2 linked regions of the Rhinolophus ferrumequinum genome follow. The protein of the gene in region 1 purifies or fractionates together with the protein of each later gene. This does not show direct contact. Links are inferred from orthologs where the notes say so. Each region holds a gene or a part of one and is shown on either strand. Other genes may lie near its edges.

What was found. The genes of interacting proteins can lie anywhere in the genome.
Region 2: the proteins of RAB27B (region 1) and SYTL4 purify together in Homo sapiens (co-immunoprecipitation; 3 studies listed by BioGRID and IntAct, counting the BioPlex papers as one, with this or other methods). This does not show direct contact. The link is inferred for Rhinolophus ferrumequinum from reciprocal best matches to the Homo sapiens genes RAB27B and SYTL4.

What each region holds. Positions count from the first base shown.
Region 1 is NC_046302.1:44,327,845-44,335,045, reverse strand, and holds the start of RAB27B (ras-related protein Rab-27B), read right to left. Parts: upstream 3,023-7,201; 5' UTR 2,951-3,022; intron 2,819-2,950; 5' UTR 2,745-2,818; intron 1-2,744. UniProt on the Homo sapiens protein: Small GTPase which cycles between active GTP-bound and inactive GDP-bound states. In its active state, binds to a variety of effector proteins to regulate homeostasis of late endocytic pathway, including endosomal positioning, maturation and secretion.
Region 2 is NC_046284.1:53,721,785-53,729,489, reverse strand, and holds the start of SYTL4 (synaptotagmin-like protein 4), read right to left. Parts: upstream 3,004-7,705; 5' UTR 2,881-3,003; intron 2,516-2,880; exon of another isoform or gene 2,357-2,515; intron 1-2,356. UniProt on the Homo sapiens protein: Modulates exocytosis of dense-core granules and secretion of hormones in the pancreas and the pituitary. Interacts with vesicles containing negatively charged phospholipids in a Ca(2+)-independent manner.

The sequences.
Region 1 (7,201 bases):
ACTGAGGGTTGCTAGATGGGAGGGCGGTGGGGATGAGTGAGAAGGTGAGAGGATTAGAAAGCACAAATTGGTAACCACAAGACTGCCATGGGGATATGAAAGACAGTTTGGGGAACATAATAGATAATGTTGTAAAGATTTTTGTAGGGTATCCGATGGACACTTGTCTTATTAGGGAGACCACTTCAGGGACGGTGTAGATGCCTGATCACTGCGCTGTACACCTGAAGCTGAAGCTGAATAGCAATGAATGTCAACTATAATTTAATATATGTATAGTCACGGGATGTGGAGTACAGCATAGGGAATAGTCAGTGGAATTGTAACAGCTATATACAACGTCAGAGGTGTAGTAGATTGGGGGAGGGGAGTTATCACTTTTTGAGGGGGGTAAATGTCTAACTATTACATTGTTTTGTACACCTGAAACTAATAAAAAAAAATGTAAAAGCTGTCTTTTCCCACCTCCTTCTTAAATGTTTTAGTAAGCACCTTATTCATGTGAAATATATTGTTCTTTCGGGGAAAAAAAAAAAACAAACTGCTGAGGGGGAAACCCATGTGACCAGACTGCCTATTTGCTGAATCTCTTTTTAAATAAAAATCTGTATGTTAACATTAATTTTTTAGAGCTGTCTACCTTACTATTATCCGTTAAATCCAGATAATAATGATATTCGCCTGGATCTCCTGGGCAGCGAGACTTTTCAAGGCGTAAGGGGATTATCCTCAGGGATTAAAATCACCAGATAGTCACTACTTTCACACTTTAACAAATTAGTTTTACGTTTTGCATTTTCGCCTCAGTTTAAGCCCCACTTGTTTGCCAGCAACCCTGGGCTACTGCTGTGCATTCTTCCCATTGTCTTTGGTCAAGTAGTTCCAGCCAGTGGACTAATTTTAGGATTTAAATTCCAGAAGTTAGTTCATATCCTGAGAATTTCAAATTCTGAATATGATCTAAGTTCTTGGGATTTGTTTCCCTGCATCATTATCGAATTCAATGAATCTCTAGGATCAACACATAATAAAGTTATTTTAAAATTCTTTATGATGAGACATGTATAATGAGTATGACATAAAACTGAAATCTAAAGCTGCAAATCATATGTTGGGCAAAAATTTTCAAAACTAAGTATTAATTTGAAGAATTGAGTCATCTTTCCAGACTTGGATTACAGAAACATTTTTTTAAAAGAAGAGAGAGGGAGAAACTTTGTTAACACAAAGTTCATGGAGTTGTAGTATGTTGTTATACCAACTAAAAAATAAATGTAGAAAAGTACTTTTGTTTTACAAAATATTGAAAGTCTATTACTACCCCCAATCTGATTTTCTACCTTCCTCCAGAAGGAAGGCTTTATCTTCAGAAAAGATTTTCCTTGCTTAAGATATATAGCAATCTTAATATATTTTTATATACTTCTATCATTTGTATTTAGAGATGCTGCAAATTAATTGTTAAACTCATTTGTGATTTTTGTTACGTATTTTAAAATATAAGTAGCATATTTACATAGTAAATATTCAATCAGAATGTTCAAAATATTACAAGTATAGAACAATAAAATAATACTAACCCTCCCTCCCTCATCTCCTGTATCCTATTTCTTCTGCAAAATAGAGTTTTAGGAGAATTATAGGTATATGTTCAAAAGTTTAATATTTAAACAATGTGAAATCTCATTTAGGATAAATCAATATATCAAATATACTGTACTTAAAATAAATTTTGAAACATTTAAAGTATTTTAAAAATTATTGTTAAAATGCTTTTTATTAAAGTCACATTTTCAATATCGATGCCTTGCTCTGAGTCTCAGTTTCACATTTTCTTTCCTGAAATAAATTAATATCTTAAACTTTCCTATAAATTGACCATAAATATGACTCAACATTTTATTCATTTTTAAATGTTTACCTATTACATTTTGTATAAAATACCTAAATTTGATCTAATTTCTAAGGTAATAATCTAACCTAACAATTTGACAAAACTTTAAAGTTTTCAAAGACATTTAATACATGAAATTGGCATCAAGGCCCTAAAAAAGCATTTTCAATTGATTTGTATGATTTTGATTGATTCAAATTGAGAATGTCTGATTTTCTCCATAGAGTCTTCTTCATTTGGGTTTTCTAATAAACTACTCCCTTATCACACATAATCAGATATATTGTTGAACAGGAAAGGAGAGCTTAGATTATTGTTTCTGAGTGTAATCTACTAATTGTAGTATTGAGTATGGCCAAGAGAAAGCAAATTAGATTTTTCTTCAATGGCTTTACACTGAGAGGTACAGAATGGTTTCACAGCTTTCTGGCAGCCCACATTTACGGTGAGAGTATTTGGAACACAGAAATAAAGAAAGCATAAAAAGATTTTTACACTGCACCACAGCACTGATTAGAAAGGACAATCTTTGAGCTTTGAAAACAGAAAACAGAAAGCAAAGAAGCAAGCCATCTGCAGCCCTGAGCAAAATCTCTTTGCCATCAAAACTCTGCTGCAAATCCAGCTTCTCCTCTTGCAAACCCACAGGCTAGAGGAGGGAACCACAGCCACTCCAAAGTAGAGTTTCAGGCCCATCATTAGTGGTTTATGTCACTGTCTTGGTGCTTTTCCTTCATGAATGAAATATGCAAATGGCATCTTACATTGGCTCTCTCAATGAGGAAGAAGAAGGTCAAGAAACACAACTAACAAAACCAGCACGTTAGAGATCTGTGACCGATGTACTTACACCTCCAAATGCCTCCAGATTTCAGCCTCTGGGGTATCTAGCCCATTTCTTTATGGCACTGTTGCTTCCATCAGCTGTGGAAATTAACATAAAATAATATAGTAACCCAACAAGTACTGGACAGCATTCCAGAGCATCAGATTAAGTGAACACTAAAGGCGCATTGACGGTGTACAAAATCTGAATGGTAAATAGCAAGTAAATACCTTCCAATCGACCGGAAGGGGGAAGGATGCTGAGCTGCTACAGCTGCTGCTTGCTCTCTTGTGTAACAGCAAAGGCGGCTCAGTCCCGCTGACAGGCTGCGAAGAGTGGCTGCCTATGGGCGTCTGGGCGGTCCTAGCGCCTGCGGCAGGTTAACGCACAAGGTAACTCCGAGAAGCCTATTTCCGGTGATATTTCTGAGGGGTGTCACCAAGTGTTTCAGGGATGCTTGTTAAGCACCAGGGTAGCGGGGTTTGAGTTTGGGAAAACTAATTAGTAAACAGGGTCTGCTAATGTTTCCAGACACTGCTGGTGAAACCAAAAAGGACTATGGATGATCTTGTCCATTAAATAAATGGTGCTTTTGAAAATGTTAAAGCCATAAGGCATTTAGAAAGAAAACTAATTCGCACGTCTACCATATTGACTAATCTGTTTATTTTTTTCCACACCCCCCCCCAACACACACACATTTAAAAAGTAAAGCGAAAAAGGAATAAAGAAGTAGGGGATTTTCAAAAGTTTGAAACATCTTTTCTTACATTTGCAAAAAGTGTTAAAGGTCTAAAAACTCCATGCTTGGCATATTTGGTTCAAAAACCTCAAAATAAATGCAAAAACAAACAAAAATAGACTTTCAGAAGCTTTTTCTCTAAAAGGCAAAATATACCAGACTCCATATAACACTTCCTTTCATCTTTATTTATTTACTTCACTTTTTTCCTTTGTAGCACCTTTTCCCACATAATATTCGCATTTCTTTTTCTTTTTTTTAAACTTTTAAAAATTTATTTTAAGTGTGTTTTTCCAGGACCCATGGCTCTAAGTCAAGTAGTTGTTTCAATCTAGTTGTGGAGGGCGCAGCTCACACTGGCCCATGCGGGGATCGATCGAACCGGCAACCCTGGTGTTATGAGCATGGCACTAACACACTGAGCTAACCAGCCGCCCCATATTTTTAAATATATTGTCTAACTCCCCCACTGCAACATAATCTCTGTGAGGGAATACACTATATTTACTTTGATAGAGTAATACTTTTATAGCCTAGAAGATTGCTCAGCACATAGTAGGTCCTCAGCAAATATTCGTGGAAAGAATAAACTGGACACTAAGCTGACAAATTACACTAAAGAAAATAAGTACAGAAATTAACTCTTAACTGATTAAATTCAATTATCAGATCTCTTTGAGCAACTGTTTTATTTAAGGGACTGTGTTAACTGCTATATATTTGCCTTTAAGGAGCTTATAATTTACATGTAAAGAAAAGATATTGTATGAAAAAAATCTGTATGTAATCAAACAAATATATGCACATCTAATATTTGCTGTAAGAGAGTGAACACTGTAAGTTAAGATGTGCTGTTTTCGCTAGGCGCTTCTATGTTTTGACATTATGGGTATGATATTGAGCTGGGGGACTGGGTTTGAGAATTCAGCAGTGGTTTCTTCCCTCCAACTCCCACCCGAATATATACAGTTTGGTTGGCAGTATGGTTCAGAAGGGACCAGAATTTAGAAAGTCAACTCTAGTAAGATTTGTTAGCAGAGTAAATACAGATACTAACACAGGTAAAGAGAGGGAGGGCAAGTAGGTGGGTACTGCAGGCCCTGGATCAAAGCCTCACATAGTCAGGGAGTCAGCAGGAAAATGGTCCAGCATCCAAGAGCGGTTGCCTTCCTGAGCAAGGAGGGGGCTGGTGGTCTGGGCTGTCAGACCGAGTAGGTGACGTATGGCAGCCAGTAGCAAGGTATTACTGGCCAATAACAAGGTATGCCAATAAAGCTGAGGCTCAGAGGTGCAGAGGCCAAGAGGGGAGAGAGAGAGTGAAGATCAAAGATTAAAGTAAGACTGTCTCCATGGAACACTCAAGGAGGGATTTTTTCATAGAAAAAGTACAGACCCAGAGGCTGAGGGTCAGCCTTGAGCCCAACAGTGAGGGGCACTGATGCCTCTTAAAATCGAAGCATCCAGAAATCAATCAGCTGGATTAATCTCAAGCCATGTGTGGGTCAAGCAGCTGTGACTGTGGTTGGGGAAGAACTGCAGAGAGAGGGAGTCATGCTGGTCACTAGAAAGTTGAACCAGAGTAATTTTGCCTCAATGAAAGAAAAATTGCTTTCTTCAGCCCACAAATTGTGATTCAATTGTCTACTGCATTTTTGTCCCCTTCTCAATCCAGCAGGTTTTCTGAAATGAGATTATGTTTTAAAAAGGAAAAGACCAGGAGCAGCGGGATGGCTCAATTGGTTAGAACGTGAGCTCTGAGCAACGTTGCGGGTTTGATTCCCACATGGGTCAGTGAGCTGCGCCCTCCAGAACTAGATTGAAGACAACGAGCTGCCACTGAGCTCTGGGTGGGTGGCTGACTAGTTCAGTTGGTTAGAGCACAGTGCTCTTAAATACAAGGTTCCCGGTTGGTTCCCACATGAGCCACTGTGAGCTGTGCCCTCCACAACTAGATTGAAACAACTACTTGACTTGGAGCTGATGGGTCCTGGGAAAAACACACTGTTCCCCAATAAAGTGCTGGAAATACACACTGTTCCCGTTCCCCAATAAAATCTTTAAAAAAATTTTTTTTAAATGTGCTTGTTTAAAAAAATGAAAAAAAGGAAAAGACCAGCAGCAAAAGGTGCAATGCAGCCTCAGAGATGAGAGTGGCTGTGACTGGCCCAAGAGGGAGGCAGTGCCCCTCTGTCAAGCATCTCTTTGTAGCTACTGATCTTTATGAATGTTAGAGAGCCTCCTGGGGAACCATCACTATGTCCACGGTTGGGTCTCAGAAATACACTGACATGTCATCTGTGGGATGATACCAAGTGGAGGGAGGAAGAGTAGGACTGCTGAGAGACATGTCACCATACAGATATAGACAGATCGATGGAATGATAGATAGATAGGTAGATAGATAATCAAAAAGACACAAACAATATAAAACTTTTGATCTAATGGATATAGACAAAAACAGATAATGAAACTTCTTCTCATACAAATATAGAACAAAGTTGTTCATGTACAAGGTCATAAAGCAAGTTGCAAAAATTTTTAAAGAATCAATATCACACAGACCATGTTCTTTGACCAGAGTGCAACTGCTTATGTCAGTGACAAAATGATAAATAAAACATTCCTACACAGTTGACAAATAAAGCCACACTTCTCAATAATTTGTGGGCAAAAGTGAAAATGAATACAGATATTTAAAAATAATTAGAAATGTACAATCACTACATATGGGAAGCTATGAAAGCATACTTAAAGATAAATTTATAGTCTTAAGTTTATATGTTAGCAAATACAAAGGCAGGAAAGTAAGAAAGGCGATAAATATTAGAGAAGAAATCAATGAAATAGAAAACAAATTTACACTAGAAAGAAATATACAACATCAAGAATCAACAAATACAAAAGCATTTGTTTTTTGGAAAAAGTTAATGAAATTAATATTTGGCTAAAGTGATTCAAGGAGAGAAGGCACAAAAACCATTTAGAAACACTTTATAAAATAGTAATCAGTTTTTGAAAAATGTATACATTATCTATCGTATAACCCAGTCATCCAAATTGTATTTGTTCAAGAAAAATGACAACTATAAAAGGCTTATATGAATTTTCATAATAGCTTTAGTTGTAATAATTGAAAATAGGAAACAACCCAAATGTCCATGAAGAGATGAATGGATAAACAAATAGTGATATGTCCATACAGTAGAATACTAGTGAGCAATAATAAGGAGTTACCTATCTATATCTGCAGCAACATAGATGAATCTGAAAATCATGATGCTGAATTTTGTAAAAAGCCAAACAAGAAAGGGTACACATTATATGATTTCATTTATAAAAACTGCTAGGGGATGCAAATTAATCTACAGTTGCAGAAATCAGAGCAGTGATTACATGGAGATAGAATAGAAGAAAAGATGGATTACAAAGGGGCAAGAGGCCTGTTGGGAATGATAGGTGATGGACATGTTCATTATTTTGATTGTGAGGATGGTTTCACAGTGTTTACATAGGTCAAAACTCACTGTGTTAGGCCCTGTCCTCAAAAAGTAGATATCACAACAGGACCAGAAGACAACACATCTAATGGGGGGAAACCTGTGAGAGAAAAGGGGAAGGAAGAGAGAGGAGGCTGGGAGAGCCATCAGACCACAGTGCAGAACTGACCCAGGTATAGGAGGCAGGAAAGTAAAGGAAGCAGGATGGAAAACAGGAAGGTCTTGGACTAGAGTGTAGTTCT
Region 2 (7,705 bases), on another chromosome or scaffold:
GGAGAGCCCAAAAAAGTGCCAGTTCCTAGAACAGTAATGTCATTCATTAATTCATTGAACAAACGTTGGTAAGTACCTATGTCCCAGGCCCTGTTATAGGTGCTGGGGTCCACTAGTGAATAAAACAGACAGAAAGCCCTGCCCACGTGGAACTTACATTGTGGAGGGGGGAGAGAGACAGACAATAAGAAAGAAAAATGAATAAAATATGCAATATGTTACATTAGAGTAATAAGGTAGGGAAGGGGCACATAGAATATTCCGGGAAGGGTTTCAAGTTTAAACAAGATGATTAGGGAAGGCCTCACTGAGGTGACATTTAAACACAAACTCCTAGTTGTCAGATTTCAAGCGCCTCAAAAAAGGTATCTTTTGTACTTCAATCCCACCATCACCAGACCTCAGGCCCTTGAAGGCATGGGACCCCCGGTTCTTAGCACAAATGTTTGTTGATTTTTCACGCTTAAGACAAAGGGAGCTCCAAGATCCAGACCTTGACCTTAAAGTGGTTAACCTTCCAGGTGGAAAAACAACTAAGAGAGGTGTTAAGGGCTTTCCTGAGGTATAAACAAAGAGCTTTTGGACACAGGATAACTGGTAATTCTGCATAGGGGAAGGAATTGTATTCAGAAAGGCTGTCCCAAAGGAGGTGACTTTAGAGTAAATTTTGAGATAAATAGGAATTAATGGCAGGGAGTGGGTATGGGTGGCAAGTTATCTTTTCAGGGGGAAAAAAAGAGCAGTTTGAGCAAAGGCCCAGTGATCGGATCAGGGAAGACATTTTTCTCCTGGACTGTCCCTGCCTCAGATATGCCATCCATCCCAGGATAAAATAAGCAAACACTTCCCCTCAGGCTCTCTGGCTTGACTGTTGGGAAATCCTTATCGCATACCACATCCTCATTTCTCCCCTAGCAAGCAGGAAAGGAAGAAGTTGAGTCAGTCACACATCCCTAGAATCCAGTTACCCTCTCTTAACTTCAGGACAATGACTACTGAGCTAAGAGCCCTGGAAGTTTCATTCAGACAGGTACACTCAGGGGTGTGTACCTAGAGTGGCAATGTGGCAACTGGCCCCCTGCTGGAAGTGAAGTGGTGAAGTGGGCAAGATACCAGTGAGGTAAATGGTCCAAAGTCTCCTCAGTGCATCCAGGGTAGAGTCAAGGACCAAAACTTATACTTTGGCGTGGAAGGGAAATTTTTAATCACTTAGTCCTCACTCGTGAGCTATTTAGTGTTCCTAACATCCAAGGCAGCAGAGACGGTATGACAGGGGATAGGAACAGAGCTGTGCATTAAGATGACCCAGCTCTGTCCCTCATCTGTTGGGTGATTTGGAGCAAGGCACTTAACCTCTCAGTCTCCTTTTCATCATAACACAATTATAATTGTAGCGCCTACTTCATAGAGTTATCATGAGGATTATATGAGATAATTATGTCAAGAACTTATCACAGCGCCTGGCTCAGTGGATTCTAACAACCATTATTAATAGCAGCCTTTAAGGGGAAAACTCAGAGAGTATCAACCAGAATGCTACATACACTCACAGACCAGTCATCCCTGAACAGGCCTCCATTTCACTGTTCAGACTTAGAGTGAGGCCCCTGAAATTGTGTTACCAGAAATGTTTGCCTCCTGCCAGGATAAGTCTCACAAGCCAAGTTGGTGGTCCCTTTCTACTAGGATTTCCAGCAGGTGCTAAAAACAAAAAACAAAAACAAACCAAAAAAAAAAAAACACAACAAAAAACTTTCTCAGAGTCTCAACTCTTTGCATTAGACATTATTCTCTCCACAAACCAGTGGGTAAACACATTAGGTCATTAATACCTTAATATTAATGGATTTATGAGGGGTGGTGTCCGGGAGCTGAAAAAGCAGAAAAGCCAGTTTAAAATAGGAGGTCCAGGATGTACTGAAGACTAATGTCTGCCACAGATGTTCAAGCTCTAGGGTCAACCCTGCCAAAAGCTGTATTCTGGAGCGCTAGGTCCTCTGGTCCTGAAGAAGTAGGGTACTGGGGGAGGAAAAGGTTAGTTAATGAGAAACAGATCAGTTGTTCAAGCCACCAGAATTCTAACCAAATGATTTCACCACCAAAACTAACCATTTCATTCAACGTTAAGGGCTGGAGACGTTCATAAGCCCCTTTATAAACCAAAACAGAAGATAGAAGTGTTCTGGGCCCCTTCTGAGGGCTCTGAGGACTCTCCTCCAGGAGCAAAGCCTGCTTGAAAAGTGGCAAGATAAAGCAGTTCAACTCTGGAGCACACAGCCGGGTCCCCCGCCCCAAGTGCAGAAGAAGCCCACCGAGGCAGGACTAGGGCCAACCAGCCAGCCAGCAGCCTTTTTACCTGTGGCGGGCCGCCTGAGGTCCGTAAGGAGTACGGGGACAATACCACGCGCAATGGCCGGGCACTGCCAGAGGAACCGGCGAAAAGGTGACTCGACGCCTCGGAGGGCGCAGTTCCCGCTAGGAGCTCCGGCCCCACCCCTGCCCCCCGGGCCGGCTCTCCGGAATTGCCTCAGCTCCGGCAGGCGGGAAAAGCCGGCCACGCCGCTCGAGGCGTGACAGGGAACACAGAGAGGCACAGCCTTCGTTAGCGATCAGTGGGCCTGGGAAGGCGCTCGGGAGAAAGCAAACTGGCGGGGAGGGACTGTCCCCGGGGAGTCAAGCAGACTGGAGTCGAGGCGTGGGCAGGAGGGCTATCCAGGGAGGCAGAAAGGGGACAGGAAAGAGTGGGAGGGCGGAAGGGGTTAGGGAAGGACGCAGGGCCCTGAGATGGGGGTGGGGGCGCTTAGGCAGAGACAAGGGGCTGGGGGCCAGGCAGGAGTCCCCGACCGACGGCGAAGGGGCGGCCTCTGGCCGCGAACCTACCTGTCAGGTGCAACAGGTGCCACGAGAGAGGCTAGAAGTCCCAGCACCGGATTCAGGGCAGGGTCTATGGCTCTGGGAAGACCGCAACCCCACTCCGGCAGTGGCCGGTCCTTCTCACCCTCCCGGGAGGCGGAAAAAGCTGCAACTTTCCCTGGAGCGGGGAGGAGCTGGACTCTTAAAGGGGCCGCACAGCGCTCCAGGCTCCTGAGTAGGGGACGGTGCCACTACAAGAGGAGCTCTGGGAACCAAAGCCTTAAGGCACTGGAGGGATGCCCTCCAGGATTATGAAAGGGAGCTTGAGGATTAAGGATAAGGGTCTAAGACTAGACCTGACCCCCTTTTTATTTCCATCTGTGGTCACTCTCTCAGATGATAAATCACAAACCTCTTCACTCAGCTGAGCCAAAAGTTGTCAAACGGTCGTGTACTTTTAGGGAGAAGAAGACTGTAGACCATATACTTTGGTAAGATAAAACATGATACCATTCTGATTCTTCGACTTTCAGCCTTTTGTGGCAAAGAAAAGTGTCTAAAATAGAAACGTTTTGGGCAAATAGCATAAGACTAAATTCACACACATGGACACAAGTGGGTAAAACATTCAACTCACTATTTAATCAAAGAGTAAATTAGAACAATAATGAGGTTCCTTGGCAAAGTTTTTTGTTTGTTTGTTTTTATAACAATGATGACAAAGTGGCCACCAGATAAGTTATCTTATAATTGCTGGAAGGAGTGTATTTTGGTTAAAAATCCTTTGACAAAGCATGTGAGTAATATATATCAATTAGACTCTAAAATGTTTATATCTACCCAGTAATTGTAAGTTCCTCTCCCATTCTCTTCCTCCCTCTCTCTCTCTCCCTCTCTTCTTTTCATCACCCATTAACAATGCTCAAGTCCCTCTCACCTGTCATCAGCAAATAAACATGCTCAAGTCTCCGCCATCTTAAAAAAAAAAATCCTCTTTACACACCAAATACCTCTCCAGCTCCTCTTTATGAACAAATTTATTCCAAATATACTTTAGAGGTACATTTGTAATCTCCACTCCCTTAATTTTCACTCAACAATTTGACTTTCTTCCTCAACACTCCACTGAGACTGTGCTCAACAAGATACCCAGCTAATGACCTCCGTGTCAATAAATAAATAAATAAACAAACAAACAAACAAATAAGACATTTTTAGTCCTTATCTTGCTTGACCTCTTCTCTACATTTAATGCTGTTAACCATTTCCTCCTCCTTGAAAGTCTTCCTGTGGCATCTATGACACCATACTCTTCTGCTTTTCCTCCTACCCTTTTGCCCTCTCCTCAGTTCCTTTGTACATTCCACTCTGCTATCTAACTTCTGAAAGACAGACATTCTCAGGGCTAGGCTACATATACTCTCTTCCTAAGTGATCTCTTTCACTCACTTGGCTTTAATTATCATCTGTATGGCCACACCTGTAATTTTATAGCTTATCCAGATATCTCCACTGAGCTCTGCTCTCTTGACATCTCCACTTGGATGTCTTGCAGGCCCTTCAAACTCAACACATCTGAAGCTGAACCCACCATCTTTTCTCTTAAATTTGCTCCTTCTCCATTGTTTCCTGTATCAGTATAAAAAACCCAAGGCAGAAAGTGGGCACCTAGAGTATCATGTTTCCCTGAAAATAAGACCTAACTGGAAAATAAGCCCTAGCACGATTTTTCAGGATGTTCATAATATAATATAAGCCTTACCATATTTCCCTGAAAATAAGACCGGGTCTTATATTAATTTTTCCTCCAAAAGACTCATTAGGGCTTATTTTATATTACGAGCATCCATAAAAATCATGCTAGGGCTTATTTTCAGATTAGGTCTTATTTTTCAGGGAAACATGGTAGTACCTGGCACATAGTAGGCCCTCGCTAATATTTGTATAATAAATGAATGAATGAATGTGTCCTAAAGAAACACAAACTTTTTGTACAATGATGTTAACTGCAGTATTACTTAGAATAATCAAATACTAGGGGCAAAACCTAATGGTTCAATGGTTAAGTAAATTAGAGTTATACGATGGAATATTATATAGCCAGTAAAATTGACAAGTAGTCTTCCCTTATCCATGGGGGATACATTCCAAGACCCCCAGTGGATACCTGAAAACACACTGAACACTATACATACTATGCTTTTTCCCTTTACATACAAGCCTTTTCACTTAAAGGAAGCACTTTATGGCTTTTCTTTGGTATATTTGAATTGTCAGCATCACTACACTTGCACTTTGGGGCCATTATTAAGTATAATGTGTTATTTGAACACTGCACTGCAATACTGTGACAGTTGATATGATAACCTAGACAGCCAAAAATTAATAATGAGCAGGTATCATATACAATGTGGATACACTGATCAAAAGGGATGATTCCCATCCCCGGTGGGATGGAGCAGAACGGCACGAGATTTTATCACACTACTCAGAATGGTACAAACTTTAAAACTTACGAATTGTCTATTTCTGGTATTTTCCATTTAAAATTTTCAGATCACAGTTGACCATGAGTAACTGAAACCGTGGAAAGCAAAACCACGTAGCAGGGGACTACTGTAGCAGGTAGCAGGGGACTACTGTATTTACACGTAGCTCATAATGACAAGAAATACGTATGTGTAATATTAACTGAAAGTAGGATACAGTATTTAATATACATATGATCACAACAATTAATGGAAATCGGAGGATATGCATGAACAAAAGGCTAGAAAGAAATATGCAAACTATCAATAGTGGCTGTCTCTAGGTGGTATAACTAAATGAACTTTTCATTTTCATCCTAATTTTCTGTATTTTTCAACTTTCTTATAATAGTGGGTATAGCTTTGATAATATAAAACATCTTTTTTGAAAATCTTTAATAGGGAAGGAAAAAATCATTTTAATTCTAGCAGACAAAACAGTAAAATTCAGCTCCCAGGCTCTACCCAGAGTTTTCTGCCATTCTGGAATCCTTAAATACACCACCCACAGCCTTAAGTGCAAAGAAGACTCTTCAAAAAGGAAACCCTTTTGTTCTGTCTAGCGTTGCTAACTCCATCCTCAGGGCCTCTCTGCCTCAGCTCTGGGCTTTGAATGTGTTCATCTCCCTAACCTGGCCTGTGGGAACTCAGAACAAGCACTTCTCTGCTTCTTCTTTGCAGGTGGTGCTTGGCAGGAGCTGGAAATACCCTCAGCTAGAAGGGACTTCAGAAAACATATAGTCCAATCTTCTTATTCCACAGCAAAATTTCCAGATATTATTTTAAGTTTTTCCTTCTTTATGCATGTGTGGTTTCTCACTCTCCAAGGTCCACCTCATTAAAGAGGATGTGTGAGGATCTGACTCCTATCACAGTTTCACTAAACCATCTGAAAATACACAGAGACAAACATAAGCAATGAACCAAAACCAAGTTAGTCAATGGCCTGTTTACACAGATTCCATGCTTCGCAATCTGCTGTCCATTATCTGTTTGATCCTCTTTGTTTGTCGCAAGGATTCTGTGCTCAAATTCTTATGCCAAATATTGTGAGCGCTCCAATGCAAGCAAACCCAGGCACTATCCTGTGCAACAATGTAAATAGGAACTTATGGATTATTATCTTATGTATGGTATGTAAACTCCTGTCCCATAGTGAATGATCGGATATGATGAGTTGTTTCAATTTACCACATTGAAGTAGTTCTGGATAGTGCAAACTAATAAGATACTCCATTGTTTGTTTTTTTCCTCAGCCCCAGGTGATGGGATGCCTCAGCATTGAGCAATTGCTCTTTTTAAATATTTTGAAAATGCATAAATATATAGACAACAGTACGACAAAGAGAATATGCTCACAACCCAGCTTAAGAAATAAAGCATTATGCAGATTGGTGCAGCTGCTATGGAAGACAGTTTGGAGGTTCCTCAAAAAGTTAAGAATAGAATTACCATATGACCCAACAATCCCTCTCCTGGGTATATACCAAAAAATTCTGAAAACATTTATCCATAAACATATGTGTGCTCCTATGTTCAGTGCAACTTTATTCACAGTGGCCAAGACATGGAAATAACCAAAGTGCCCTTTGATAGATGAATGGATAAAGAAGATGTGATATATATATAATGGAGTACGATTCTGCCATAAGAAAATATGAAATAGTACCATTTGCGACAACATGGATGGATCTTGAGATTATTATGCTAAGTGAAATGAGACAGACAGAAAATGTCGAGAACCATATGCCTTTGCTGATGTGGGATATAAAACTGAAAGCAACAAAGGAGCAAATCAAACACATGAAGAAACAAAAACTCAGACATAGACAATAGTTTAATGGTTACCAGAGGTTAAGGGGGAGGGGGTGGTAGAAGAGGGTAAATGGAGTCAAATATATGGTGATGGAAAGAGAACTGACTCTGGGTGGTGAACACACAATGTGATATATAGATGATGTATTACAGAATTGTACACTTGAAACCTATGTAATTTTACTAACCATTGTCACCCCAATAAATTGTAATCAAAATTTATATATATATATATATATATATATATATATATATATATATATATATATATATATATATAATTTAGCAAGGGAAAAAAAGAGATTTACATTCAAACTAAAATTCCACCCATCTTCGCATCTCTTCAATAAACTTCTAAACACGCCAAAAAAAAAAAAAGACAGAAAGAAAGAAAGCATTACCACTACAATCAGAGCCCTCTGTATACACCTCCATCCCAAGGTTTTCACTATACCAGATTTGATCTTGATCATTTCCATGTGTGTCTTTATACAGTTACTACATATGTG